Linked DNA regions of Oryctolagus cuniculus. The protein of the gene in region 7 purifies or fractionates together with the protein of the main gene of each other region. This does not show direct contact. Links are inferred from orthologs where the notes say so. Each region holds a gene or a part of one and is shown on either strand. Other genes may lie near its edges. The genes, in order: BTRC, PSMA6, BAG6, CAV1, RPL13, UBXN10 and VCP.

What was found.
Region 1: the proteins of VCP (region 7) and BTRC purify together in Homo sapiens (affinity purification with western blotting; 4 studies listed by BioGRID). This does not show direct contact. The link is inferred for Oryctolagus cuniculus from reciprocal best matches to the Homo sapiens genes VCP and BTRC.
Region 2: the proteins of VCP (region 7) and PSMA6 fractionate together in Homo sapiens (co-fractionation; 3 studies listed by BioGRID, with this or other methods). This does not show direct contact. The link is inferred for Oryctolagus cuniculus from reciprocal best matches to the Homo sapiens genes VCP and PSMA6.
Region 3: the proteins of VCP (region 7) and BAG6 purify together in Homo sapiens (affinity purification with western blotting; 4 studies listed by BioGRID, with this or other methods). This does not show direct contact. The link is inferred for Oryctolagus cuniculus from reciprocal best matches to the Homo sapiens genes VCP and BAG6.
Region 4: the proteins of VCP (region 7) and CAV1 purify together in Homo sapiens (affinity purification with mass spectrometry; 5 studies listed by BioGRID and IntAct, with this or other methods). This does not show direct contact. The link is inferred for Oryctolagus cuniculus from reciprocal best matches to the Homo sapiens genes VCP and CAV1.
Region 5: the proteins of VCP (region 7) and RPL13 purify together in Homo sapiens (affinity purification with mass spectrometry, with the first as the bait; 3 studies listed by BioGRID). This does not show direct contact. The link is inferred for Oryctolagus cuniculus from reciprocal best matches to the Homo sapiens genes VCP and RPL13.
Region 6: the proteins of VCP (region 7) and UBXN10 purify together in Homo sapiens (affinity purification with western blotting; 3 studies listed by BioGRID and IntAct, with this or other methods). This does not show direct contact. The link is inferred for Oryctolagus cuniculus from reciprocal best matches to the Homo sapiens genes VCP and UBXN10.

Annotation. Positions count from the first base shown.
Region 1 is NC_091446.1:28,392,199-28,395,698, reverse strand, and holds part of BTRC (F-box/WD repeat-containing protein 1A), read left to right. Parts: intron 1-835; coding exon 836-1,022; intron 1,023-3,500. UniProt on the Homo sapiens protein: Substrate recognition component of a SCF (SKP1-CUL1-F-box protein) E3 ubiquitin-protein ligase complex which mediates the ubiquitination and subsequent proteasomal degradation of target proteins. Recognizes and binds to phosphorylated target proteins.
Region 2 is NC_091443.1:40,254,564-40,258,636, reverse strand, and holds the start of PSMA6 (proteasome subunit alpha type-6), read left to right. Parts: upstream 1-1,273; 5' UTR 1,274-1,278; coding exon 1,279-1,408; intron 1,409-4,073. UniProt on the Homo sapiens protein: Component of the 20S core proteasome complex involved in the proteolytic degradation of most intracellular proteins. This complex plays numerous essential roles within the cell by associating with different regulatory particles.
Region 3 is NC_091436.1:138,966,708-138,970,207, reverse strand, and holds part of BAG6 (large proline-rich protein BAG6), read right to left. Parts: coding exon 3,464-3,500; intron 3,303-3,463; coding exon 3,228-3,302; intron 2,678-3,227; coding exon 2,439-2,677; intron 1,988-2,438; coding exon 1,858-1,987; intron 1,391-1,857; coding exon 1,193-1,390; intron 1,015-1,192; coding exon 762-1,014; intron 410-761; coding exon 332-409; intron 222-331; coding exon 114-221; intron 1-113. UniProt on the Homo sapiens protein: ATP-independent molecular chaperone preventing the aggregation of misfolded and hydrophobic patches-containing proteins.
Region 4 is NC_091434.1:151,971,465-151,975,462, forward strand, and holds the start of CAV1 (caveolin-1), read left to right. Parts: upstream 1-1,198; 5' UTR 1,199-1,493; coding exon 1,494-1,523; intron 1,524-1,936; exon of another isoform or gene 1,937-2,200; intron 2,201-2,621; exon of another isoform or gene 2,622-2,768; intron 2,769-2,878; coding exon 2,879-3,043; intron 3,044-3,998. UniProt on the Homo sapiens protein: May act as a scaffolding protein within caveolar membranes. Forms a stable heterooligomeric complex with CAV2 that targets to lipid rafts and drives caveolae formation. Mediates the recruitment of CAVIN proteins (CAVIN1/2/3/4) to the caveolae.
Region 5 is NC_091449.1:69,233,504-69,237,648, forward strand, and holds RPL13 (large ribosomal subunit protein eL13), read left to right. Parts: upstream 1-1,404; 5' UTR 1,405-1,538; intron 1,539-1,779; 5' UTR 1,780-1,788; coding exon 1,789-1,892; intron 1,893-2,201; coding exon 2,202-2,343; intron 2,344-2,393; exon of another isoform or gene 2,394-2,474; intron 2,475-2,530; coding exon 2,531-2,704; intron 2,705-3,116; coding exon 3,117-3,173; intron 3,174-3,443; coding exon 3,444-3,602; 3' UTR 3,603-3,645; downstream 3,646-4,145. UniProt on the Homo sapiens protein: Component of the ribosome, a large ribonucleoprotein complex responsible for the synthesis of proteins in the cell.
Region 6 is NC_091438.1:150,508,855-150,513,057, forward strand, and holds the start of UBXN10 (UBX domain-containing protein 10), read right to left. Parts: upstream 2,801-4,203; 5' UTR 2,663-2,800; intron 2,485-2,662; coding exon of another isoform or gene 2,418-2,484; exon of another isoform or gene 2,327-2,417; intron 1-2,326. Other genes in the region: PLA2G2C (putative inactive group IIC secretory phospholipase A2), read left to right, coding at 2,418-2,484. UniProt on the Homo sapiens protein: VCP/p97-binding protein required for ciliogenesis. Acts as a tethering factor that facilitates recruitment of VCP/p97 to the intraflagellar transport complex B (IFT-B) in cilia.
Region 7 is NC_091432.1:198,025,251-198,028,750, reverse strand, and holds part of VCP (transitional endoplasmic reticulum ATPase), read left to right. Parts: intron 1-1,635; coding exon 1,636-1,738; intron 1,739-2,976; coding exon 2,977-3,110; intron 3,111-3,187; coding exon 3,188-3,323; intron 3,324-3,500. UniProt on the Homo sapiens protein: Necessary for the fragmentation of Golgi stacks during mitosis and for their reassembly after mitosis. Involved in the formation of the transitional endoplasmic reticulum (tER).

The DNA.
Region 1 (3,500 bases), on a different chromosome or scaffold from region 7:
GGAGCTTTTCCACTGGGACCCCAGTGCAGATTTGAGTGGCTGTCAGGTTTACCCAAGCCAAGATCTACTCTTTACTCTTTTCCTCTGCACATCCTGCAGAATATCCTCTGAGATGCTTACCAAGTTGTCTATTGGTCTGGATTTTTTTTTCCACTTTTGGTCAACTGTCATTTAGGTTTTATAGCAGCAGCTATTCTCACACAGCTTTTTTTTTTTTTTTTTCTTTTTTGAAACATCTGAAATGAAGCATACCTCACTTTCTTTCCTCTTGGGGTATTCCTATACCATTCTGTATTTCCTTCTTCTCCTCCTTTCTGCATGCCCCAAATTCTATAACCCAGCACATTCTGCCTTAGTGTTTCTCCCCCAGTACATTTAAAGGATATTTCTTCTACTGAATAGCTTTGGAATTGCAGCAGTAATAGAAACAGAATGAGAAATGGACCTAATATAGAGATTTGGGGGGGTCTGAATCAGAGTTTGAGATGCCATCCACAGAACATCCCCTAGTGCTGAAATCCATATAGATAGATGTGAATTGTTTTCTGGAATCCTTTTTATTTTTAATGTCTTGGAGGGGTTGCTGGTTGTTAGCTTTAACTTCCTTATCTAAAGGAAGATGGAAAATACTGTTCATTTCTGTAACCTTATGGAAAAATTATTGACACTCATTTTACCCAAGCCTCTGTTTGAAAGAGCAACTGGACTACGCTGGGGACAATGATATGCCTTCATAATAGAACAAATGCTATTCTGTTTTAAAGGACCTTTTGTGAAAAATCATTCACTATCCCCTTTATTCTTTCTCTTTGCCTTCTCCCCTCCCCACTGAAAGCACGGGGTTTGGATCATATTGCTGAGAACATTCTGTCATACCTGGATGCCAAATCGTTATGTGCTGCTGAACTTGTGTGCAAGGAATGGTACCGAGTGACGTCTGATGGCATGTTATGGAAGAAACTCATCGAGAGAATGGTCAGGACAGATTCTCTGTGGAGAGGCCTGGCAGAACGAAGAGGGTGGTGAGCCTTTTAACTTGCTTAACAATCAGAGAGTGTTAGGGCCCAGCCGTCTTGCCACTGGAAGGTTGTTGGGAACAGTGAACCAATCACTTACCACTTACTACAGTGATTTTACTGATTTGCAGCTAAAAATAGAAAATAGTTGCTCATGCACTCAGCGGTTTTTCTTCTGACCCGTCACTCATAAAATGACATCACAATGTGTTAATATTGCTTGGCAAAAAATAATAGAACACTGACCAGCCATCCTGTTTCTCTAGGCAGAAATTAGTATCTTGCAGAAGGGCTGATAAGTAATTTATAAGGCAAGCAAATGAGTTTGAATCACATGGAAGCCATCAGATCAAGCTTTCCTCTGTAAAAACCCAGGACAAGTGAGCATTTTGTTTTTTCAGATTTCTTGCCTTTAGCCCATTCCTCCATTTTTTTTACCTTTGTAACAAAAGAGTATATTTTATGTCCAACTAAAATAAGAACTCTAGCTGTCAGAAAGAATAAAAAAATTAGTATAAATCATTATTTCTTCTTAAGATTTGGGTTTTCTCGTGATTTCTTACTTCATTTTGAATTCACTAAGGTTATTATACTCATATGCATGGATCTAAAAAAAATTTTTACCAAGATACACTTAACTTTAATTCTGTTTTCTGTAAACTTTGAAGTACCCTCATGTAGTTAGAGCCTAAGAGATTTCACCAGTTTTGTTGTTGTTCTCTTAACCATTCATTAGAACTTCTGGTAACCTCTTTCTTTATATAATTTTCTTCCTAAGTATGTTTCTAGAATGGTACTATATGAAGTCAAGCATGAGTCATTCATTAAGAAAGGTGACATAATAAATGTTTTAGCTGATAGAAAGACTGATAATAGGTATATGCATATTCATTTTTGCCCTTCCAACTTAATTTTTAAGTTGTTTATCTGGATCATAAAGAGATCTAAAACAGTTAAGAATGGAGAATACTTTTTAAAATACGCGCTTTGGATTAGAATTTTCACCAAAATCTAACTATCCCCCTTTTTTTCTGTCTTTGAAATTCATTAACACGTGATATATATATATGTGTGTGTGTGTGTGTGTGTGTGTGTGTGTGTATATACCAACTGCTTCAGAGATTTCAATCATTCTAGCAATTAAAAAGACTTAAAAATTTTTCCTCTCAATGAAGGGAATGAAACACCAAAGAGATCTTTGTCTATGTAATAATTGTATAAAAAAGATGTGGCATTGTGGCATAGCGGGTGACGCTGCCATCTGTGACACCGTCATCTCATATGGGTGCAGATTTGTATCCTGGCTGCACCATTTCCAATCCAGCTCCCTGCTAATGGCCTGGGAAAAGCAGCAGAAGATGGCCCAAGTGGTTGGGCCCCTGCCACTCATGTGGGAGACCGGAGAATGCTCCTGGCAGACAGCAGATGATGGCCCAAGAACCTGGGTTCTTGCCAACCAAGAGGGAGATCCAGATGGGAGTTCTGGGATCCTGGCTTCAGCTTGGCTCAGCCCTACCATTGTGGCCATCTGGGGAGTGAACCAGCGGATGGAAGACCTCTCTCTCCCCGCCTCCCACTCCCCCCATCTTTCTCTGTAATTTGAACTTTAAAATAAATAATCTTTTTTTAAATTTATTTGAGAGACGGAGTGACCAAGAGTGAGGGGAGGGGATCTTCTGTCCTCAAGTTCACTTCCTGAATGTCTGCAACAGCTAGGGCTGGGCCAGGCTGAAGCCAGGAGCCCAGAACTCCCATCTAGATCTCCCTCATAGAGAACCCAGGTTCTTGGGCCATCATCCGCTGCCTCTCAGGAACATTAGTAGAAAGCTGGATCAGAAGAATAATAGTCAGGTCTTTCCACTGGGATCTCACTCGCGGAGATCCTTCATTTAGGTCTTTTTTTTTTGCCAGAGTTTCTTGGCTTTCCATGCCTGAAATACTCTCATGGGCTTTTCAGCTGGATCACCTAGCACTCTGATATGGAATGCCAGTATCACAAGCTGTGGCTTAACTGTCTGTACCACAACACCCTTCCAGAAAATAAACTCTTAAGGTGTATAACAAAGAAACTAAGTATACAGTTAGGTACAGAAAATAAATGCTTTACATGTATAACAAAGAAACTAAGTATATAGTTAGGTCCAGAAAATAAACTCTTAATGTGTATAATAAAGAAACGAAGTATACAGTTAGGTGACATTCAGAGTCCATTTTGCTTAAGTACCTGCACTAGCCTTAGAAATACAGCAAGGGCCGGCGCTGCGGCTCACTAGGCTAATCCTCCGCCTGCGGCGCCGGCACACCGGGTTCTAGTCCTAGTCGGGGTGCCGGATTCTGTCCCGGTTACCCCTCTTCCAGGCCAGCTCTTTGCTGTGGCCCGGGAGTGCAGTGGAGGATGGCCCAAGTGCTTGGGCCCTGCACCCCATGGGAGACCAGGATAAGTACCTGGCTCCTGCCATCGGATCAGCACGGTGCGCCGGCCAC
Region 2 (4,073 bases), on a different chromosome or scaffold from region 7:
GAAGTATGAGGGGCAGAGAGAAATGGGGCTGCTATATAGCCCTGAAGCCCAGCAGCCCCATGGGAGGCAGGAGGAGAACGTGAATAAAAAGGGTAGTCCAAAGCACTTGGAAAGGGCAGAAAGGAGAGAAGAGCCGCTTCTCCCGGCCCCATCCCAGCGAGTGCCCAGCGCTCTGCTTGTCTGATTACATAAGCGCAGGGAATTCCTTTCAGGGGTCTTCTTAAGAGGAAGCCATAGAAAATAGCAAGACGGCTGGTGCTGTGGCATAGCAAAGTCACCACCTGCAATGTTGGCATCCCATATGGGCACCAGTTTGAGTCCCAGCTGCTCTACTTCCGATCCAGCTCCCTGCTGATGATCTGGGAAGGCTGTAGAGGATGGCTCACGTGCTTGGGTCCCTGGATCCATGTGGGAGATGCTGAAGAAGATCCTGGCTCCTGGCTTCAACCTGGCCCAGCACTGGCCATTGCAGCCATTTGGGGAATAAACCTGTAAGTGGAATCTCTCTGTGTGTTGCTCCCTTTCTCTCTCTCTCTCTCTAACTGTGCTTTCCAAATAAATAAATAAATAAATCTTAGAAAGAAAAGGAAAGAATGGGATGAAACAAAATACGAGACAAGAACACAGATGAGTGAATGTCATAAATCTTGAAAAATGCATTTTCTCTTGTCATCTCCATTTTATGGTGTTTGAAGATTTCCTGAAGTTCTCTCTACCCAAGTTTGCTCTTTGTTGGCAGTATTTGATCTAATGAATGCTTCCAGGGACTCTACTGCAGACACAACTCGCTCTCAACTGAGAATTGAAATAAGCAGGAAGACAATTATCTAGTCACTAATGGCAGCTAAAGATAGTTTGTTTTGCTACCAGAGGGCTCTCAGCAGTATACTCTTGTCGAATAGATTGAGTTGTTAAGATAACCATGATAATTTGTTATAAATAGCAATAATGTGAAGGTTTTTTGGTAGCTGCTGACAAAAATGAGGATGTAGAGAGTTCGTTTCAACCACATTAAAATTAGTTCCCAACTCATCTCCTTGGAGCTATTTAAAATCCAGCCCAAGAAGCAAATATTTGGCTTCAATTTCTAATATGTTAGAGGAATACATTCATTTTAAAAAGAGGCCAGATCAGATTGCCTCATCTGTCTCAGCCAGACTAGAACATTATTAAGTCTTGAGTTCAGTTCACATCTAAATAAAGGTCATTATTTAGGGAGGTTTCTTGTGCTTTCTGTGACTGCATCAGAACGGAATGTCAGTGTCCTGAGAGGTGCCAATGGAATTCCCTGACAGTTCTGTCCATTTGGCTCTGCTGGAGCAGAACGGTGTCCTGACAGGATGGGCTAGAGTTGCCAGTGCCATGAGACAGGTGCCGCTGGAGAGGGCTATGGCAAGTCTTCAGAAAAGTAAGTCCCTCCGCCAGACTGGGAACCTGAGGTGTGCTGTGTTGCTAGTTCTTTGAACTACATGGTTCTTGTGTTCCTCTTTTCAGTGACCATGCCCTAAAATCCACAGCTGTGTTTTCTTCTGTTCTCTGCTGCATAGCTGAGGAGTATATTGCTATCAGGTTGTTACACTATATATGCCCACTTTCCTGTACGTATATTCCAATTTTTAAAAAAAGGATCATTCCCCGTGAACTCTTTTGAAACACGCTTCTTTTACAACTGACAGAAAATGAAAACTTTTCCTTGTACTTACAGTCTTCTACCACTCCCTCATGTGCTCTATTATGGAATTGTAAAAATGTAAATTCACAAAAAGAAGCAACTTTTCCCCCCCACTTAAGTTAGGGCATTACTATATACCTACCGAAAATATTACTTGCCTCACATAGCCGTACACTCAAAACCTTCCACTCAAGGCTTACTTGTATTCAGGAGGAAATTTGTGTTCCAGGAAGCTGTCACCCTGATAATAGCTATTGACTCAAATTGAGGGTCATGTCCTTTGGCACTTAGTCCTGTTCTGGCAGGCGTGGTCAAATCCTTGATGAAATGGGTCTTTTCCAAGTCCAGCCCTCTGATCTCTGCTCCTAAAGAAATAAACTCTGCTCAGACCATGTTTTTGAAGAGAAAGTGTAAGGAAAAATTAATTGCTGCTTTACCTAGATAAAGAGTTTTTTTTTTTTTATTTTTTAAAGCAAGTCATGTGATTCCTTTTGTTTATGGACACGCCAAAGAAAGTTTATTTGAGGAAATCACTATTGAACACTGTGTGCCTTTCAGATGTCAGTAGGCTATCTGAGAGTACCTTAAAACATCTGTGGAAAAATGGAATTAAAAGATGTTTGTTTTAGTGCAAAAATATTTTGAAATCCATGCATAGTTTTTTTTTTATTTTATTTTATTTTTTTTAAGATTTATTTATTTGAAAGGCAGAGTTAGAAGGAGAGTCAGAGAGAGAGCCATCTTCCATCCTCTGCTTCGTTCCCCAAATGGCCACAACAGCCATGCTGGGCCAGGCTAAAGCCAGAAGACTGGAACTCGATCCGGGTCTCCCATGTTGGTACAGGGGCCCAAGTACTTGGGCCATCGTCCACTGCTTTCCCAGGTGCATTAGCAGGGAGCTGGATTGGGAGTGGAGAAGCCAGGACTTGAATAGGTGCCCATATGGGATGCTGGCATTTCAGGCAGGGCTTAACCCACTGTACCACAGTGCTAGGCCCCTGAAATTTTTTCATAATACATATTTTCCATGAACTTATTTCTCCTACCTGGTCTCAACTATTTTCTAACCTTACACTGAGGATTTTTTGGTCCCTATGAGATGGGAAAACTAGATATTTTGATTATTTAAATATTACTTTAAAAATTCTGGTTTCAGAATTTCAAACTTGCAAGTTCCTCATTTTGACCAGTCTTCTTACTTGCCCCATTCCTTCAGCCCAGCCACCAGTTCCTTTGCCTGCGCTTTGGCCTATCCATTCCTGAGGGACACAGACTCTATTGCTCACCCCCATCTGGCTTTACCTGCCTTCCTTCCTACCTCACCCACTCCCCAAGGCGTCCGTATGAAAGGGTAGCTCCTGTAGCAGTTAGCAAATTCTTGTATTCCCTTAACCTCCTGTGAAGTCTACCTTTTCAATTCCAGACCTAATTTTGAGAAGCATAGACCATTCTACTTTTCTACTCTGATATACCATAGTTGTGCTATTAGTCAGGAAACTGTAACTATTGAAATTTCACTCCCATTTGACGGTCCTCTTTGTCGTCTGACATTGAATTCCTAGTCATTTCCTGAAGGCACTCTCCTGGTCTTTACAACCTGATCTTGAGAAACAGCAAATCTGGGGCTTCCGTTTCCTTTTCTGTGAAATGAGGAAGATGGCCTGTCTCAGTACTCCTCCAAATTTAATAGGCATAGAATTATCTGGGAATCTCACTTCAAATGCTACTTCCTTTTTTATTTTTTTAAGATTTATTTATTTATTTATTTATTTGAAAAGCAGAGTGACAGGGAGACAGAGAAAGAGACATATTCCATCTGCAGGTTCACTTCCCAAAGGCCCACAACAGCCAAGTCAAGCCAGGCTGAAGCCAGGTGTCTGGAACTGCATTCTGGAGTCCCACAGGGTTGTCAGAGTCCCAGGTCCTTGGGCCATCTTCCACTGCCTCCCCAAGCACACTAGCAGGGAGCTGGATCAGAAGCAGAGCAGCCAATATGGGATGACAGCATCAAAAGAAGTGGCTTAACCTTTTGTGCCACGAGGCTGGGCCCTCCGGTGCCACTTCCGATTCAGGTCTGGCATCCCCCGTGATGCCAGTACCTCAGACCATTATGTGAGTACTAAAGGCCTCCATGAGCTCTAAGATTATTTTAAAAACTAATACTAAAACAACACTCATGATTCCAAGTCCTGAGTCACAACCTTCCCACATTCACTCACAGCAGACTTAACCAGAAACTGAAACACCACCTTTTATTAGGCTCTTCAGCAGTGTTTGCCCTTTCCAATGACTTTCCTATCCTCAATCTTCTCTCCCTTTTTCCTCCCCCTAGGTTACTTGTTCCTCCTGCCTCCATTCTGTCCCTTTTTGCTGAGTTGGGATCTTCTCGCAGTTCATTCCT
Region 3 (3,500 bases), on a different chromosome or scaffold from region 7:
GCAGAAGAGAGAGACCGGAGAGAGCTGAGGGCTGGGCCCTTGGCCACTAGCTGACAGCACCCGCCACCATGGACTATGCCCCACCTCCCAGGCCTCCCCTTCCAGGTCATTACCTGCTGCCGCGGAGGCAACAGCTGCCACCATGGCCTGATGAGTGATCTGGTGGGCGACGGCGTGCATGAACTCAGGGGGCAGGGAGGGCAGCTGGATGAGGGTGGAGCCTGGGGGGCGGGTCTGATGTAACCTTGAACCTGGACCCCTTTAACCCACCCATTCAGCCCTACCCCTTCTCTACCCAGAGCTCAACCTGCTCTGATGCCCTCACTCTTACCCAGGGTCTGGCCATGACCAGGGGGTCCTAGGGGGCCAGTGGGAGCACTCGGAACACCACCGGTCTGTGTGCCAGAATCTGGGCAGGGAGACAGAGAGAGTGGCCCTGAGACAGGCGGGGCCAAGCCCTAACGGCATCCTCCTGAGATCAGCTGTCCTGCAGGCTCCCACTTCCCCAGCCGGAACACCTGCCTTTCTCTCCATCAAGACAGGGAGCAGGTGCTCCCTTCACCACACCAACAAATCACCAAGGACACAGCACCCATCCTGCCCCGCCCCACACACGACGCTTAAAGCTGCTGCTCTGGCTCCTCTGCCAGCGCTGCCAGCAGCAGCCTCTCCCTTCCCCAGCCTCGCACCTCATACCTCAGCGCCAAGCCTACCTCCTTCACCATGCTGCTCTTCTCTGCCAGCGACCGACTCTAACTCACCTTGAATGTTCATGTGCATCATGACTACGGGTTCCACGCTCTGGTGGGAAATTCGGATGACCCTCGGGTGACTGGTGGCTGGCTGGGGAGCTGGCCCTGGAGTGGAAGCCCCCTCCGTGGACGACTCGACAGTGGTAGAAGACGGAGCCAGGGACGAGGCCTGCCCGGGACCAGAGGAAGGTGCCTCTGCATTAGGAGCTGGGGGGGGACGAGTCCCATTCCCCGTCATGGTCACAGTAGTCCCCACATTAATCTGGAAGAAACAGGGGGACAGGCGGGAATAAGAAACACACAAACACCTAGAACAGATCACCTTATGAGATACCCCTGAAGTCTTCCTCATCTTCATCACTACGTTTCCAAAGTCTCCTCCCTTCCTAATCACTCCACCTACACCCTCCATTCTCTCCGACCCGCTCTTCGTGACGCACCTGGATGGGAATGGCTGCCTGCTGGAGCACCATGGGGGTAGTGTAGTGAGACATGGGTCGGACCACATGCAGGTGGCGTGGGGGTGCACAGGCCAGATTGCAACGCAGATCAGACAGAGCCACAAAGGTGTTGCCCAACAGTCGCAGACTCTCCCCCACCAAGTTAATCAACCGCTGGTCCTCTTCTCGGCCCTCATGCTGTGCTCCGGGGTCAAACACAGAAAAGCAGAAAGTATCAAGCTGGAATCCTCCTCATTAACTAAAGCAGTAAGCTGTGCCTTCTCAAAGTTATCATGCCCTCTAAACCTTTGCTTGTATCCTTGGAAACAAATGCTACTACACACCCATAAAGAACTCCCTGCTAAAATAAACTCTACAATGAACCAACAGGGCATCACCCATGAATCTCCTTACTTTATAAACTTCCTAAATCATTAACTCAGAAGTGCAAGAAAGAGAGAGCAGTAGATACCGCAAAAAGTCACCTTCCCCCGAAGGAAGGAAAGGACCATTTACACGTCTAAAGAGAATTTGGGTTTTTTTCTTGTTTTTGGGTTGTTTCTAGTTTTTTGGGTGTTTTGTTTTTAGTGCGAGGGGAGAGTGTTATCTGTATCTCAGTCTGCCCTGTTCTGCTTCCGGGGGGTTGGGGCCATGGAGGGACTCACGTTGTTGTTGTAGTCCGTGCTGCCGGCGGAGCCCAGGACCTCGTAGTAGCGCTGCAGGAAAGGCTGGAGGCGGCTCTCCAGCCGCTGCAGCTCCTGCAGCACCTCGACATACTCCGCGGGGGAAGGGTGGCTGCGGGCAACCCAAGGGCAGTGAGCCGAGGCTTTCTGCAACTCCTGACCTCCCAGGCACCAGGGATCGCAGCCGCCCGTCTGCCCTGGGCCTGATCCCTTCACAGACCAGCACAGTCTGTTCTTTACTCCTACCCATGGGAGGACTGGGGGAAGACACGGAATTGCTCCCGCCCTCCCCAGCACAAGAAACTGACTCTACGAGAGAGATGGGATCCGTGTGAACTCAGGGCAGAAAATTTTATCAGGCTCAGGACTTACCACCTGGATTCCCTTGCCCAGGAGAGAGCAGTACTTTTTGCTCAGCTATCAATCCTAACTTCACTTACCTACACTCAATGCTAACCCTACAGGTAAGGCCCAAGCAATGCTTCCCTTGCCACTGTACCTTTCCTGGTCCTCACACTTCATTCGGGATCTCCCAAACCCCTAGAGTTCCCTCCTCCTCTCACTTGGGTGTGTTTGTCTCCGTGGCAGGTGCTGGGCCCGTTGGGGCTGGGCCAGGCGGGGTGAGTTCTGGGTTCTGGACTGGGGTGCGCTCCTCCACTTCTTCTGCCTCCATGGGCTCCCGAGCTGGCGAGTCATTTTCAACCGCTTCTGCTGTCTGAGAGCTCAAGGTTCCCGGCTCCTGGGCCACAGGCGGCGTTTGTGGGGGCGGCTGACTGTGCTGTGCTTGGGGCCCTCCTCGACACTGAAGGTGGGGCGAGTCAGAATACCAAAAGCAGGATGAGACTACTGTAGACAACCACTCAGGCCAAAGGAGTCTGAATGGGGAGAATACCCTGACGAGGCGCCCTGAAGGCAGGGCTCTGGTCTGCCTCTAACAGCCAGGGCAGCACTGGGACAATCAGGCTGCACACAAGCATCTGTAGGCTTGGTGAGTGAATCACAGAGAGCAGAGGCTGCAGTTTCCTAATCTCTGCAACGAGAGAGAGAAAGGCCACAGGCTGCAACCGTAACACAAACTGACAAACTTAGAACATCAAGGAAAAAATTAAGAAGTGTGGGATCCTTCTTCAATTCAAAAGATATGCTGTGAGAGTTACCTGACAAGACTGAAACAAAGTCCCCAATACCAGCCACCAAATGATCTGGCAGGGTCAAAGCGGTCTCAAAAAGATACTTTTTCTACCCCAAAGAACAAAGATTGCAGAGAGAGGCGACCAGATTAGGAAGGCAGAGTCCTGTGGTTGTGGCCAGTTATGCCCCTGAAGAGACTCTAGCCAGACTTGCCCACTTACCTCCATCCGGGACAGTAAGGTCTGTATATCCCGGATCATGTGCTGGGCCATCACCAGCCGTACCCGGGGCTCACTCTACGATAAAAGAGGAATCATCAGGACAGGTCCGAGGTGAAGCCATGAGCTCCACTGCCTACTACACCAGGTCCCAGTCATCTCCTCAGCCAGGTCCTCCCCCACTTCATGGCCTCCTTCTCCCAGATCCCCTTCTCTGACCCTCCCAGGCCCCTCAATACCTGAATTGGGGCCTGTTCCATGTTGATGTGAACATCC
Region 4 (3,998 bases), on a different chromosome or scaffold from region 7:
TCTGAATCTCTTAAGGATGGAGGTAGCACAATTTCAGGCATACCAGCATCCATTACTGTGTGACATTTCCAGGCCTGTCCTAGCTGAAACAGATATCTTTGTTTTTCAAAAGGTGTTGCTTTTTGGCTATCAACAGTAGCCTGCCCTTCCCAGCTTCTATTTGAATCTCCTCTCCAAGCACAAGATCACCTCTTTCAGAGCTCCATCCTCCAGTGCCCTCTCCTCTTCTCCCCCTACCCGATTCCCCTTTCTAAACAGCCAGTTTTTAAATTTAGTCTGTGCCCCTTCAGGTGTACCCCCAGCCTTGCAGTTAGTTTCAAATAATTTGACTTCAGACTCCATTCGGGTCTTTTCCATTTTTGGATTGTGAATTTCCTGACCTATCATAGCCACGTATGTAATAAAATGATTTACTGTAGTAACATGATTACTGTTCAATCCACCTTGTGCTGCTTTATGATTCGATAAAGAAAGAAGCTCCAAATTCAGGAACCAAAAAAATACTTTGATTGCAAACACATTTTTTAAGTCTGTTCCATTAGTCAAAATTAATTTTCCCCTCATAGCCAAGCACATTTAAAAAATATACTCTCCAGTCATAAACCTAAAGCTCAACTCAATTTTTTTCAGTAATTGTAAATATTTAATGTACGATATAAATAAGGTATGACCTGTTTGCGTGAATTTCTTTTGTTCCGGAAAAGATCGGTAGTACGATTATGTAAAAGTTAAACATCTCAGTTTCTCATTTCAAACCGTCCGGGAGACTTTTCAGGAGCGAGTGGGAAACGTGCACTTCTGCGCGCCTGCTTCTCCGAGTTTCCATCCACACTGACAAGATGTCACCAAAAGTATGCCACACACAGGCAGGCACCGCGCAGTCTCTCCTTGCGTCTGAATGTGAAAAGTCCCTAAACCGGAGCCGGTTTTCATCCGTTCTTCCGCGACTCCGGGCTTCCGAGGCCGTGGTCGAACGTGAGCAGTGGGGGCAAACTGGACTTGCGACCGCGCAGACATCTTTCTGACGCCTGGGTTGCCCATACCGGGCATCTGTCCCTGCCTGCTCCTGGGCTCGCTCCACCCCTGCCGGGTGATGCACAGCAAAAACACGCGCTCTTCCCAGGACGCCTCTGGCGGGTGCATCGGGCTGGGCAAACGTGGCCCTAGGTGGCAGGTCTCTGCCCAAGCAGCGGAGCCCGGGGGCAAGGCTGGCGCGCTCGCCCTCGGTTCCCCCTGGCACTCCCCGCCCGCCGCTGCCTGAACCTCGGGGATGTGCCTGGACCCGGCGCCGCGCACGTCCCGGCCAACTGCGCGCCCAACAAGCCCCTGGCGCGCGGCCAGGAGGCTCCCTCCCAGCCACCGCCCGCCCCCCCGCCAGCGCCTTTTTTTTTTTTTTTCCTCCCCCGGTACAATACAAGATCTTCCTTCCTCAGTTCTCTTAAATCACAGCCCGGGGAAACCTCCTCAGAGGCTCCGTGCAGCCACGCGCCAGCATGTCTGGGGGCAAATACGTAGACTCCGAGGTAGGCTATGGTGGGGACGCGCCGCCCGGGGCGCGCGGGGAGTGCCTGCCCCTACCCGCTCCCACTCCACAAATATTCCGGCTGCTTTCCTCCTTGTCCCGGCCCCGTCTCCACTTGGGAGCACTCCTGTCGCGTTGGCACCTTGGAGGAATGGGCCTGGGCGGGGAGGTGAAGAGAAGCCAGGAATGTTTTCTAGGTTCCTGCTGGGGAGGAGGCCAGAGGAGCCCGGGAGATAGAGGGTGGGATGGGGGGGGGGGGGACAAGGGTCGCAATCCTCAAGTTTGGTTTGCCCCTTAGGGGCACGTATTCTACATGCGTGCGCCCTTGTTGCGAGACCCTCCACGGAGCTGAAGCGCTGGAGGCTGGGGTGGGGGCGGGCGTCCTTTATCCGCAGTCCTGGGGACAGTCCCCGCGAGTCCCCGCCAGGAGCCTGGCGCAGCTGCCCCGCGGCGGCGCGCGTGTGTTTGCTCTCTCCAAAGTTCTTGGGCCGTCTCAAGGACCCTTGCCGCCTCTCGGCGCCTGTCGGGGGTGCTCCGCGAGGGGTGGGCCTCCTCCTAACCCCAACCACCACCCGCGCTGGGTGCGGACACCCGGTTTTCCCAAACGCAGCGGTTGCTCCGCCACCCGCCGGCAGCCTGGGAACGACCTGAGGGTGGTGGGTCCGGGCGGTGGTGCAGGTGACAACTACTTCCAGGGGGATCTGGCACTTGGTGCGGACCAGAGGTGGGGGGGGGGGGCGTGGGAGCTTGTGACAACCACCTCCCCACGCAGGTCGGGGGGATCCGAGGAGGGACAAGCGAACGCCAAGGAAAGGGGTGCAGGGGACGCGGGCAGGTGCGAGAGGGACGCGGAGCAGCAGCAAAAAAACGGGGACGTTCCGTGGCTCTGGAGGTTCCCGCCGTATCTTCAGGATTAAGCAGGAAGGGGTTATGGGGCCGGGAGGTGACAGGGGTCCGGGGCGGAGAAACGGAGCAGGTGCAGGCCTCTGGGTATAGGGGCCGGAGCGCAGCCTTAGATCGGCCCCCTCCCCGCAGTGGTCCCCGCGGGGCGACGCGGGCCAGGCGTGCGCGGGGCGGGGGCCCGGGCTGGCCGCGCCGCGGGGTTTGCCCTGACCCCTGGCGGCGGGCGGGGGAGGCCGGCGCTCCCTGCCTGGTACCGAGGGGTGTGGTGTCGTCTCCGCGATCCTCTTAAAAAGCTGGCGGCGCGCAGGAGTTTTCTGTGCGCTGAGCGGCCGCTGTCGACGAGGTCAGTTGGATTTCGAACTCCAAGTGCCCCTGGTCGCTAGGCTGCCTTCTTCTGACCGCTTGCTTTCCTTTTTGAATTATTCTTCCCACTGCGGTTGTCACCCTCCCCAGGGACATCTCTACACTGTTCCCATCCGGGAACAGGGCAACATCTACAAGCCCAACAACAAGGCCATGGCCGACGAGGTGAACGAGAAGCAAGTGTACGACGCGCACACCAAGGAAATCGACCTGGTCAACCGCGACCCCAAGCATCTCAACGACGACGTGGTCAAGGTAGGCTGAGGCGCCGGGTGAGCCAGGGCCGTCGCGGGAGGGGGCGCCGTCGCCGTCGCAGCCACACAGCACCCCTCGGGCCAGGCGCTGGGCACCCTCCAGGGACTGCGACGCCACGCACGGTGTCCCGGGGGCTCCATGTGCCTGGGCTCCTGCTGTGGCCAGAAATGTCACCTCGCCCTTCTCCCCTGCTGCTGGTGGGTTCAGCTGCACTTTAGCTAACGCGAGTTCTGTAGGAGTTTGTACTTTGCAGCCTGGCAAATGAACCTCCTCAGCAAGAGACCAGCCGGCACTCCTTGGGAGGCTTGTGTTCCACTCTCAGGCTGAAGGTCCAGTGACAGGTCCCGTTATACAGGGAATTAAGGCAGTCAGATAATTGAGGTGGGTCTTGTGCCAGGGTGAGTCAGAACACAGAACCGTTATGTTTCCCTGGCTAAAATCATCAGAAGTGGTTTTCCTTAAAATAATTAAATCAGTGCAAATGCTGAGGACGCAGGATACAACCAGGAAACTGAGCAGATTTACAAAGCCAAAAATAATGTGTCCCCTCTTGATTTCCCTTCTACACTCCTCTGGTTGGTGTAGCAAGCTGCTTCTGTAATGTCTCCCTACGCCAGGTTGGATATCCTTGTTCTACTTTCAGGATGTGCTTGGTGAGATTAAAAGCAGATGGACCAACTGGATCATTGCATACATTTAAGTCTGACTCTGTCAGTTTTTTTTTTAATTATTATTATGTTATTCAACTTTGACCCTTTTGGTAAATTTAGTTGGAGGAATTTATTATCTGAAGCCATCTGGGTTGGGAAATCATGGGCTTGAGCCATCCTTGGCAGGGGGTTCTCCTTGAGGATTGGGGAAGGCCAAGGAGACTCCCAGCTCCCAGAATGAGTGTGTGAAGACCCAGTTCTGCAAGACCCCAGGCAGGTGAGCAGTTCCCACCCACCTGGCTTCC
Region 5 (4,145 bases), on a different chromosome or scaffold from region 7:
AGAACCAGCTAGGCGAGGTGGACGTGCGGGTTAGGGCAGCTTTGCCTAAAGACAAGTCGGAGCTGGCGTGGGAGGTGTTGGAGGTGGGCAGGGTCTGTGCCCGGAGCATGGAGAGGGTCTGGGGATGACGCGGAGAGGGCCAGCATTCATGCGGCCAGCGTCTCCCGTGGGCGCGCGGGGTGAGTGGGTGCGCGGCCAGCGTCTCCCTTGAGTGTGAGGCGTGAGTGGGTGCCCGGCCAGTGTCTCCCGTGGGTGCGCGGGGTGAGTGGGTGCGCGGCCAGCGTCTCCCGTGAGTGTGAGGCGTGAGTGGGCGCCCGGCCAGCGTCTCCCGTGGGCGCGCGGGGTGAGTGGGTGCGCGGCCAGCGTCTCCCGTGAGTGTGAGGCGTGAGTGGGCGCCCGGCCAGTGTCTCCCGTGGGTGCGCGGCCAGCGTCTCCCGTGGGTGTGAGGGGTGAGTGGGCACCCGGCCAGCATTCATGCGGCCAGCGTCTCCCGCGGGTGTGAGGGGTGAGTGGACGCCCGGCCAGCGTCTCCCGCGGGTGTGAGGGGTGAGTGGGCGCCCGGCCAGTGTCTCCCGTGGGTGCGCGGGGTGAGTGGGCGCCCCGCCAGCATTCATGCGGCCAGCGTCTCCCGTGGGCGCGCGGGGTGAGTGGGTGTGTGGCCAGCGTCTCCCGTGGGTGTGAGGGGTGAGTGGGCGCCCGGCCAGCATTCATGCGGCCAGCGTCTCCCGCGGGTGTGAGGGGTGAGTGGGCGCCCGGCCAGCATTCATGCGGCCAGCGTCTCCCGTGGGTGCGCGCAAGCCGCGCGAAGGGCAGATGGCAGGTTTTCTCCTCACGGTGTCCGTGAAGGCCGCGGCAGGCCCTCGGCCACGCTGGCTCCCCCAGGCCACCTGGAAGCGGGCCGAGCACTCTGCCTCGACTGCGGCCCTGACGTGACTCCTGCAGCCGCTCCACCAAGACGCGCCCGGCACCCAGAACCGGGCGGCGGGTCCCGGCTCCTCCTCAGCCCAGCTCGCGCCGCGGCCATGTGGCGCGGGCCAGCGGACGGGCGGTCTCTCGGCCTCTCACTCACACGGAGGGGCCACCGCCTACCGCAGGGCCAGGTTCGAACTCCCGAGCGCCCTGCGCGCCCTTTCCCGGCGCTCCGCTCCACTCCACGCCGCGGGGCGGCGGCAAGAACGCGCCGGAGGCCGCCTGGCGCGCACCGGGGGCTGCGGCACTCGCGGGGTGAGGGCGACGCCCCCGGAAAGCGCTCCGCGGAGGGGAGAGGGGCGCGGCGGGGAGCGAGGCCCGGGGGCGTCCACGGCTTCGCGACCGCGCTGGCCGAACGCGCCCCGACCCAGCTCCCCTCCGCCTCGGACGCCGGGCCGTGGAGGCGGAACTCTCCGGGACGCGGCGGCGCCGGCCCTACGTCACTTCCGCATCGCCTGGCTCTGATTGGTCAGGACGCTGCGGCGCCTCTGATTGGCCGGGCCTACCACCATCCCAGGGGGCTTCGCGGCGCCGCGTCCTTTCCGCTTCTCTGTTCTCGCGCGGAGGAGGTGAGTGTCCTTTCCCCGTCGCCATCGAACGGCCTCCGGCTGTATCGGGCTCCATCCACCGCCATCGGCCTGGTGCCGCCGCCGCCGCGGCCATGGAGGCAGCTAGCGCCTCAGACGGCGTCCGGCCGGGCCCAGCGGCTGGGCGGGGAGGGCGCGTTCGGGCGGCCGGGGCCGGGGCGCGGGCGGTCGGGCGGCGGCCCGGCCCCGGCGCCTCACGCTCGGCCCTCGCCCCTCGCGGCAGCACGCAGCCATGGCGCCCAGCCGGAATGGCATGATCCTGAAGCCGCACTTCCACAAGGACTGGCAGCGGCGCGTGGCCACCTGGTTCAACCAGCCGGCGCGCAAGATCCGCAGGTGAGCGCCGGGCCGGGCCGGGTCGGGGTCGGGGTCGGGGGCCGGGGTCGGGGCCGGGCCGGGGCCGGGGCCGGGGTCGGGGCCGGGGCCGGGGCCGGGGCCGGGGTCGGGGCCGGGGCCGGGGCCGGGGCCGGGGTCGGGGCCGGGCCGGGGCCGGGGCCGGGGCCGGGGCCGGGGTCGGGGCCGGGGCCGGGGTGGGGGCCGGGGGCCGGGGCCGGGGCCGGGGCCGGGGTCGGGGCCGGGGTCGGGGTCGGGGCCGGGGCGCCGCCCGCGCGCCCGCCGTGACGCCGCCGCCGCCCTCCCTCGCAGGCGCAAGGCCCGGCAAGCGCGAGCCCGCCGCATCGCCCCGCGGCCCGCGGCGGGGCCCATCCGGCCCATCGTGCGCTGCCCGACCGTGCGGTACCACACGAAGGTGCGCGCCGGCCGCGGCTTCAGCCTGGAGGAGCTGCGGGTGAGTGGGGCGCGGGGCGCGGCGGGCGGGGCGGCCCGGGCTCGGGCGCGTGATGACAGTCTCCGGAATCGCTGCATCGCCTGATGAAAGCGCGTTCGAACCCTTTTACCTCTGAGCGCCGAGCCGGGCCCCGGGGGCCTGGCGGCGCGGGGCTCCGCGGGGCTCCATGCGTGCGTGTCTGGGGCAGGTGGCCGGCATCCACAAGAAGGTGGCGCGGACTATCGGCATCTCCGTGGACCCGCGGCGGCGGAACAAGTCCACCGAGTCCCTGCAGGCCAACGTGCAGCGGCTGAAGGAGTACCGCTCCAAGCTGGTCCTCTTCCCGCGGAAGCCCTCGGCCCCCAAGAAAGGCGACAGCTCGGTGAGTGGCGGGTCAGCGTGTGCGGGGCAGGGCAGCGGTCGCACTCCTCCATGCCTGCCCTCGGGCGATGCTTGCCCCTCGCGGAAGCCATGGACTAATGTGGGGGATGGAGGGGCTTGACGTAGCTTCTGGGGAACCGCTTGAACCTCTGCTGTGTTTCTGGAAAATCCTGTAGTGGGGGTTGGCCGTGTCCCTCTATGTGGCCTTCCTGGGGGTTGGACCGGGGGTGGGATTGCTGTCTCCATCCTGGGTTTGCTGGCAGGTGGCTCACGTGTAGGACAAGACAAGCTCCACTTGGGCCTGTCTTAGCAGCAGAGTTGAACAACCCACAACCATGCGGCAGCACAGGGTGCTGGGGTGTGTGATGGGGTCTTTTGCACAAGGCGGCTGACCGGGTTCTCGTCACACACAGGCTGAAGAACTGAAGTTGGCCACCCAGCTGACAGGACCAGTCATGCCCATCCGGAACGTGAGTAGAGGCGCACCATGCACACTGCGCTCCCAGGGCGGCAGGGAAGATCACCCCTGAGTCTGAACCCTGGGGACCCCTTCCTGAGCCTGGGGGGGGGAGTTCCCTGTGGAGATGCCTGGCCCCTCCTCGCCATGCTGAGTCAGTCAGGGTGAGGCTCTGAATCCCAGCAAGGACTCTGGTCTGATCCTCATCTGCCTCTGTCTCCATCAGTTTTGGCCCCTGCTGTCCACTTGGTGGGACTGGGTCTGACCTCATCTCCTTTTCCAGGTCTTCAAGAAGGAGAAAGCCAGAGTTATTACAGAGGAGGAGAAGAACTTCAAGGCCTTTGCCAGTCTCCGCATGGCCCGCGCCAATGCCCGCCTCTTCGGCATCCGGGCAAAAAGAGCCAAGGAAGCTGCGGAACAGGACGTTGAGAAGAAAAAATGAGGCCTCGCTGGGGACTTGCACAATAAATCCAGTCTGCCCGGTCTCCTGTGGTGTGTCTCCAGTAAGCAGTGGCCTGAGTGCGCCAGGTCCTGTCTGGGTGTGGGGTCGTGAAAGGCAGCCCAGACCAGTGGGCTGTGCCTTTGGCTGCCCTGTGAGACCACCGCAGTCTCCAGGATGGGTGGTCCCTCGAGCCTGCCTCAGTGTGATCTGCGCCTGTGAGCATGGAGCGTCCCTGCCCGGCCCCTAGGGGGAGCCTGAGGCTCAGCTCCTCGGCTCAGGTGCTTTGTGGCCCTGTGGCTCCTGCGTTGGTCCCCAGGAGGTGCTCACACACGCCCAGCCTCGCCCTGCCTGGACGTCAGCCTGCTGTCACAGTTGCTGTGGCCATGGCTCCTGCAGGGAGACAGCGTTGTTACCTGAACTCATCTAGAAATGATGATGCGTGTGATGCCCATCACCTGCCACTGTTACAGGTACCCAGGGTGCACCTGGTGGATTTGGGGCGCTGTGACCCGCTGCTGCGTGGGAGTCAGGGGTAATGCTTAG
Region 6 (4,203 bases), on a different chromosome or scaffold from region 7:
AAGCCGGAGCCTGGCTGTGTGTGGCTGCGCAGGCCGCATGGCCTGCCCACTCCCTGCGGTGCCGCAGCAGCCGTACCCAGCACAGAGAACGGGGTGTGGCTGTCTCCCTAAAACTTCATTTATAGCCTCCAAATTTGAATTTCATGTAATTTTCCTATGTCACAGAATATCGTTCTTTTGTTCCCCCCTCCCCAAGGATTTAAAAATGTAAGAGCTATTCTTGTCTCATGAGCCATACACAGCCAGGTGCCGGGCCCAGATTTGGACCACGGGCTGTGCATTTGTCAAACCCTGTCCCAGCCAGCTCTGCGGAGGGATCTGGACACGGGCTGACTCTCCAGGAGGGCAGGGTGCCCGGCGGCGGACCACACAGCTAGCAGGTGGCAGAGCCGGACACAGAACCCAGGACTTGTACATTTAGTCCTACGTCCTCTGCACCCAGCGAGAAACCATCTCCGAGTGGCCCACTTCTCTATTCTACCTCCAAGCCCCCTCTGCCAAGATCCTGGTATCACACAACCCTGAACTAGGCATCATGGTACCACCGTGGCCTAATTTTAGGGACTACCCTCATCCTCCCCACCAAAACCGAAACCCATCACCACGCAGTGTCCCGCCTGCTCAGCTCCAAATCTACGCACAAAGCTCCCCTCGGTCCCTCATTTACTCGCGTCTACTCACAACCCGATTCCTTCCCTACTCTCATTTCCCACCTCTCCCTCGTCTTTCACACCCAATCTGGCTGCTGGTGGTAGAGGAGCCTGCTCCTTAGCAAAGCTCTGGCACCCAACAAGCCTGCCCAGCTCCATGTTAACCCAATGCCTTTGCCCATCAGCTGTGAGGGACGGCTCCCTCCCCTGGGGATCCAGTGAAGTGGCTCTGCAACTTTGGCCCCGGATGGCAGGAGGCAGCCGTAACTGTAGGCAGCCGTTGGCTTCGGCTCAGCTCTCTGGTAAAGCAGCCCCCCTTCTGCAGCCTGCAGTGGCCATTAATTTGCCACAGCTTTTCCAGATCCATCACAGGCTTGGCTCCCAACACCCACACCCGCCTCGGGAAGCCTTAACTGTCAGTAAGTTTGGTAACTTAGAAACCTCTTCCTTACAACTTCCACCATGCGTTCGCACAGGCCCCTCTGCCGGGTTATTTTTAACAGCAACACTTGAGTGTGTGCATGCACTCCTGTACCTCTCGCTCCTGTATAATTATCCGTGCTCAGGGGGAGTCATGTTCGAGCCACCCTGGTCCTAGGAGAACATGGCTGTGAGCCATCGCGGAGAGCAAGCTCAGTTATGACTAATTCCCAGGAACCCACTCACTGTTATTTACAGACCAATGTGTCCCTCAGGTGAAACAGTTCCATCCAACCTGCTTTCGCAACCCCCTGCCTCCTCCCCAGGGACCATCTGTTACCTCGACTGTCCCCCCAAGGAGGTGGGGGGGGGACAGGTGCCTGGGGATCCAGGCCAACCGCTGCCTTCATACTCACACCCGACCTCTGCCGGCCGCCCTCACCACCCCCACTCCGCTCACTTCACCACCTCCAGGCCTGGCACAGGCTCAAACACAGAGCGATCCGAGAAGATCCTGGTGGCGGTGGCGGAGTAGGTGGCGGCACATCCATCAACCGCCCGCCGCACAGGCAAGTGGCCTGTTTGCTCAGACACAATCGCTGCACCCCACGGGCTTGCTAGGAGGCAGCAAACAAACACAGAGAACTGTATCCAGGAAGCTGCCCGAAGGGCAGGTGCTCGACCCTCAAGATCCATCACCAAAAACCACAAAGCAAACTCGAAGGCAGAAGCCGAAGCCAGGGGTCAGCGTCCCGAGGCTGCCCCCGGCCACCACAGCAGGGTCAGATCAACCTGTTCCATTCGCAGCCCGACAGGAACCCTACAGCAAAGGCAGTAAAAATATAGCCACCCACACGCCATCTGCTGTGGTACACCAAGATGCATACATTCGAATTGGTCTTTTAAATGTTTATCTGTTAATACCTTCCCCCTGCCAACCAGCCCCGCTCGCGTCCCCAAAACACGCAGAGGAATCAACAGGGTGTGGTGTTGACCCAGCTCAGGGAAAACTTTGGGACCCAGCCCAGACGAATAAGAAACCACGCTGGCCTCTGCTGGCCCCAGCGCTGAGCCACAAGTGACCAAGGGGCTGGGGAGGGAACGGGCCAGTCCCAAGGTAAGAGGCAGCCGAGAGAAATCTTCCCAAGTACCGGCAGCCAGAGAAGGGACTAAGCTCCAGGAACAGAAGGAATGGCTGGGGGTGGGGCAAGGAAAACTCGGGGACGTGGGCAGGGACCTGGGTGACTGAGCGCAGGTCTGGGGGCGGCGCCATCTGCTTCCGGAGCTGGGCCGTCCCTTCCTCTCCCTGGGTCTGTGGCCCCATCTGGACAGCCCCGCCAGGCGGGCATGGCCCAACAGCCCCGGGGGTCCCTCGGCTTCTGCAGCGCCCGGGCAGCATCCCATCTCGGCCACGGTGAGCTCCGGCCCAGCTTGCTTTGCCCTTGGGGCGCAGCCACTGTCCTGTGTCCCGGGACACTCCTGGGGCCGGGTCTGGGGAGGCTGCCCCCTGGGGACACCTGTGAACTCCGGAACTGGCCTCTCCTCTCCTCTTCCAGGCCAGGAACCCCTAGGGGCAGGCGGCCCGCACTCACCTCACCGCTCCATCCGCCGCTGGCCTGCGCCCCGCTGGGTCCCGCTGGTAAACAGTCCCGTCTCCCGGGCAACCGCTGCGAGGTGGGTGGGGGCACGTGCTTCCGGCCTGAGCGCCTGACCGGAACCTTGGCCGGCTCGGGTTGGGGGAGCTGGATCTGCAAGGGCCACAGGCAGGCTCCCTGTCACAGCCAGCACCTCTCCTGGTCCTCCTTGGCCTGCATCTATTTCCATCCCCTGGGGCGGGTGGGTTTGAGGAAAAGACAGCTCTGGACAAGGGGTAGGGTAGGATTCCATCTCAGGGTCTCCAGTTTTGAAATGAGGCTGTGGGACTGGTTGATTCCTGCCGGCTGCAGCATCTGCATTTAGGGTACCCCTTTCAGCCCATGCCTCCCACCCCTCCCCTGAGGCCACATGCTGGACCTTGTGGTCAGTGGCACCCACACCTCCCCTGGTGTCCAAACTACAACTCATGCGCTTGAGCCATCTTTGGGACTTCCAGCCGCCTGGTCTGTTGAGAGTCTGGTGGTCCACACCTTAGCCCTCCTCTTGGCAAGCCTGCCCCTTCCCTTGTCCTGCTAGCTTCGCGTCCCAGTCTTGACTGGTCACTAACGCTGGTGCAGTAGACGAGGGTGGGGGGGTGATCTGCAGGCCAGCCGGACTGTCCGCCCTACACAGCAAGCCTGGCAATACCCGCCACACCCACACCCCCATCTAGTTCTCTCTCCTTTCGGCTCAAAAGCTGTCAAACCTTGACCTCCTTCCTGAAGTCTCCCTCCTGTCCCCGGTCTTGGAGAAGAACCTCAGTGCTCGGTGCAGAGAGAAGACAGAAACCCACTTGCCCAGCTTTGCCATGGAACCTACGAAGCTGCCTGCTGGTGTCCCCCCTCCTCCCTGTGCCATGGGAAGGGGCTGCCCACTGGGCGGGCGCAAGGTTGACCGCCCCTGCTTGGTGCTCAGAGCCGTCTCTGTGCCACAGCCTCACATCAGCACCTGGAAGGTTCTCTCCCCCTCCCGCCAGTCTCCTCCCCTTCATTCCCATCCCCTCTTCAACCCCAGCCTAATGAATGAAGCCTTTCTTCTCAACTGAAATTAAGACCGTTTCCAGCAGGCTCCTCACAGGACTGCTGTGTGCCGGTTGTGTTCTGGACTCCTGGAGTATGCAGACAAATTAATCTAGCAATTGTGTTACTAGAAGATTAAAAACTAGGCCTTTATTGTCTGGCCTTGTTGGCAAAATATTTGCTCTCTGGTCTGCCCCAGACAGAGGGTTGCCGTAGGCACCCAATCCCGCTGGTCTTCCTGCAAGGCGTTTGCAGTTGGCCTGGGAAGATAGGCTGTGTGCTGATAAGGCGCCACGAGTCAGATTATTTTTAATACAGTTTCAGCCAAGGCTAGAGGCGCAGGCACAGGCTGGACGTGAGCATGTGCCAAGTGACTGAGCAATCGGGAAGTTCTTTTGGGGCTGGAACAGCCGGGATGGGTTCCGTGGTGGTGGTTCTGTCCAACGCAGGGAAGCGGCTCTGGGCTTGGGGTAGCGCTG
Region 7 (3,500 bases):
ATTTGAAAGGCAGAAAGATTTTACATTTCTGATTAACTCCCCAAATGCATCATCTAAGGTTGGGCCAGGCTAAAGCCAGAAACCTAGAACTCAATCTAGGTCTCCCACGAGAGTGTCAGCCACCCAAGTAGTTGAGCCTCCAAGTACTGCTGCCTCCAAGGGTGCACATTAGCAGGTTGCTGGAAGTGGAGCTGGGATTCCAGCCCATGCACTTTGAAATGGGATATAGGCATCCCAAGGGGTGTCTTAATTGCTGTACCAAAGGCTTATTGTTCTTTTTTTTTTTTTTGAAGTTTATTATTTATGTATTTGAAAGTCAGAATTGCAGAGAGAGATCTTCATCCGCTGGTTCACTCCCTAAATGGCTGCAGTGGGCAGGGCTGGGCAAGGATGAAGCCAGATCTAGGAGCTTTATCCAGGTCTCCCACATGGGTGCAAGGGTCCAAACTGCTTGGGCGATCTTCTGTTGCCTTCCCAGGTGTGTCAGTAGGGAGCTGGATCAGAAGTAGAGCAGCTGGGACTTGAACCAGTACCCATATGCAGACAATGGCTTAACCCACTGCACCATAGCGCCAGCCCCCAAGGCTTTTTTTTTTTTTTTTTTTTTTTTTTTTTTTTTTTGTACAAATTTCATAAGTACAACTGTACAACTTTAGGGATATAGTTATTCTTCCCACCATCCACCATACCCACCTTCCCACCCCTCCTCCTCCTCCTCCTCCTCCTCCTCGCTCTCCCCTTGCCAGTCCCATTCTCCGTTAAGATTGATTTTCAATTAACTTTGTACACAGAATATTTCAACAATTTGCACACACACATACAAACTGAGAACTAGTTTTACAGTTAACTCTGATATACAACTCACTGAGGACAGAGGTCCTGCATGGGAAGTTAGTGCACAGTGACTCTTGTTGTTGATTTAACTATTAACAGTGCTTATGTATGATGTCATTGACTACCCGAGGCTCTTGACATGAGCTACCTAGGCTATGGAAGCCTTTTGAGTTCACAAACTTTGTCAATATTTGGACAAGGCCACAAGCAAAGTGAAAGTTCTCCCTTTAGAGTAGAGTACATCCTTCTTTGATGGCCACTTCTTTCTGCTGGGGTCTCAGTAACAGAGATCCTTCATGTAGAACGTTTTTTGCCACAATGTCTTACCTTTCTATGAAAGGCTCATTCTTAATGGTGTCAGAATTGAATTCTTTTTTTTTTTTTTTTAAGATTTATTTATTTATTTGAAAGTCAGAATTACACAGAGAGAGAGAGGTCTTCCATCCGATGGTTCACTCCCCAATTAGCTGCAACGGCCAGAGCTGTGCCAATCGGAAGCCAGGAGCTTCCTCCGGGTCTCCCATGCAGGTGCAGGGGCCCAACGACTTGGGCCGTTTTCCACTGCTATCCCAGGCCACAGCAGAGAGCTGGATCAGAAGTGGATCAGCTGGGACTTGAACCGGCACCCATATGGGATGCTGGCACTGCAGGCCAGGGCGTTAACCTGCTGCGCCACAGTGCCGGCTCCCAGAATTGAATTCTAATTCTCACCCTTTCTAGAGTCCTAGTCAAGCCAGTTTGAGGTGAGTGGCGTTGAGAAGTCAGGAGTCTAATTCTAATTGCTCTTATGTTGGTCCCCAGCCTCCTCGGGGAATCCTGCTCTATGGACCTCCTGGAACAGGGAAGACCCTGATTGCCCGAGCTGTGGCAAATGAAACTGGGGCCTTCTTCTTCCTGATCAATGGTAAGAGATTTGATTTGTCTTGTGTCTGTCTAGAACTAGCCCTGGCCTGAACAGCTCATTGATAACATCCATTTGCAGCCATGCTCTCATGCACACTTTAGCATCTTTTGCTGGGGTACATTATAGACAGGTCAGCAACAAGTGGGAGATTTTTTTTTTTTTTTTTTTTTTGACAGGCAGAGTGGACAGTGAGAGAGAGAGACAGAGAGAAAGGTCTTCCTTTTGCCGCTGGTTCACCCTCCAATGGCCGCCGCGGCCGGCACGCTGTGGCTGGCGCACTGCACTGATCCGATGGCAGGAGCCAGGTGCTTCTGGTCTCCCATGGGGTGCAGGGCCCAAGCACTTGGGCCATCCTCCACTGCACTCCCTGGCCACAGCAGAGAGCTGGCCTGGAAGAGGGGCAACCGGGACAGAATCCGGCGCCCCGACTGGGACTAGAACCCGGTGTGCCAGCGCCGCAGGCGGAGGATTAGCCTAGTGAGCCGTGGCGCCGGCCAAGTGGGAGATATTTTATACTGATACTTTTTGTCTTTTCCCCTCAACCTAGAAAAAGTTGTGTACATTTTTGTAAGGAATATTTATGTATTTAAAAGAGTTACAGAGAGAGGGAGAGACAGAGATCTTCCATCCGCTGGTTTACTCCCCAAATGACCACAAGGGCCCAGTCTGAGCCAGGCTGAAGCCAGGAGTCAGGAACTTCATCTGGGTCTCCTATGTGGGTGGCATTTAGGCCATCTTCCACTGCTTTTCTAGGCCTTTAGCAGGGAGCTAGATTGGCAGTAGAGCTGCTGAGACGTGAACTGGTTCCCATATGGGATGCTTGTGTGGCATGGTGATAGCTTTACCTGCTACTCCACAATGCCAGCCCCAAGATATTTAAGGGGGAGCAAGTTGGAATTAAAAAAAAAAATAAAATAAAGGTATGATGCCTATTTGAGAGGCTTAGGGAAGATGGGCCAACACCACCTGTCTCTTAGAGAATGTTAAGCTGTAGAGATCCAGCTTGTGTGATGTCTCCTGCTCTTGCCAGAGACCTTTACACTTTGAAAAAAATGTGCTTGGTTTCTCTACCCCAGCTTTGTGGCTGTCCTGGGTGATAGCTGGCATTGGTGAGAAGGTAGACGGAAGTTAGTATCTTCTCATCCAGGACCTATCCTAGGGCAGATAAGGTAACTGATTTATTTTGGGACTGGGAAAGGTTGTAATTTTATCATTGTCTTCATTTTGTTTTCTTTCAGGTCCTGAGATCATGAGCAAGTTGGCTGGTGAGTCTGAGAGCAATCTTCGTAAAGCCTTTGAGGAAGCGGAGAAGAATGCTCCTGCCATCATCTTCATTGATGAACTGGATGCCATTGCTCCCAAAAGAGAGAAAGTAGGAGTTTACCCGAGGGAATGGTGGGAGGTTGAAAGGTCCTAACATTGCTTCTGACCAGACATTTGTCCTGCCAGACTCACGGGGAGGTGGAGCGGCGTATTGTATCACAATTGTTGACCCTTATGGATGGACTAAAGCAGAGGGCACACGTGATAGTTATGGCAGCAACCAACAGACCCAACAGCATTGACCCGGCACTGCGACGGTTTGGTAAGGACTCCAGCTTCCTTCACCCTTTCCTTGCTCATAGAGAGATTATAGATCTATTGAGTTTAATCTCTATCCTTCATCTGAGTCACCTGATTTGATTATGAGGATTCCTTGAAGTTTTTTTGCAGTGGTAGGGCACAAGGGTCCTTGTATCCTGTATCCTGTCTAGAGTGACCA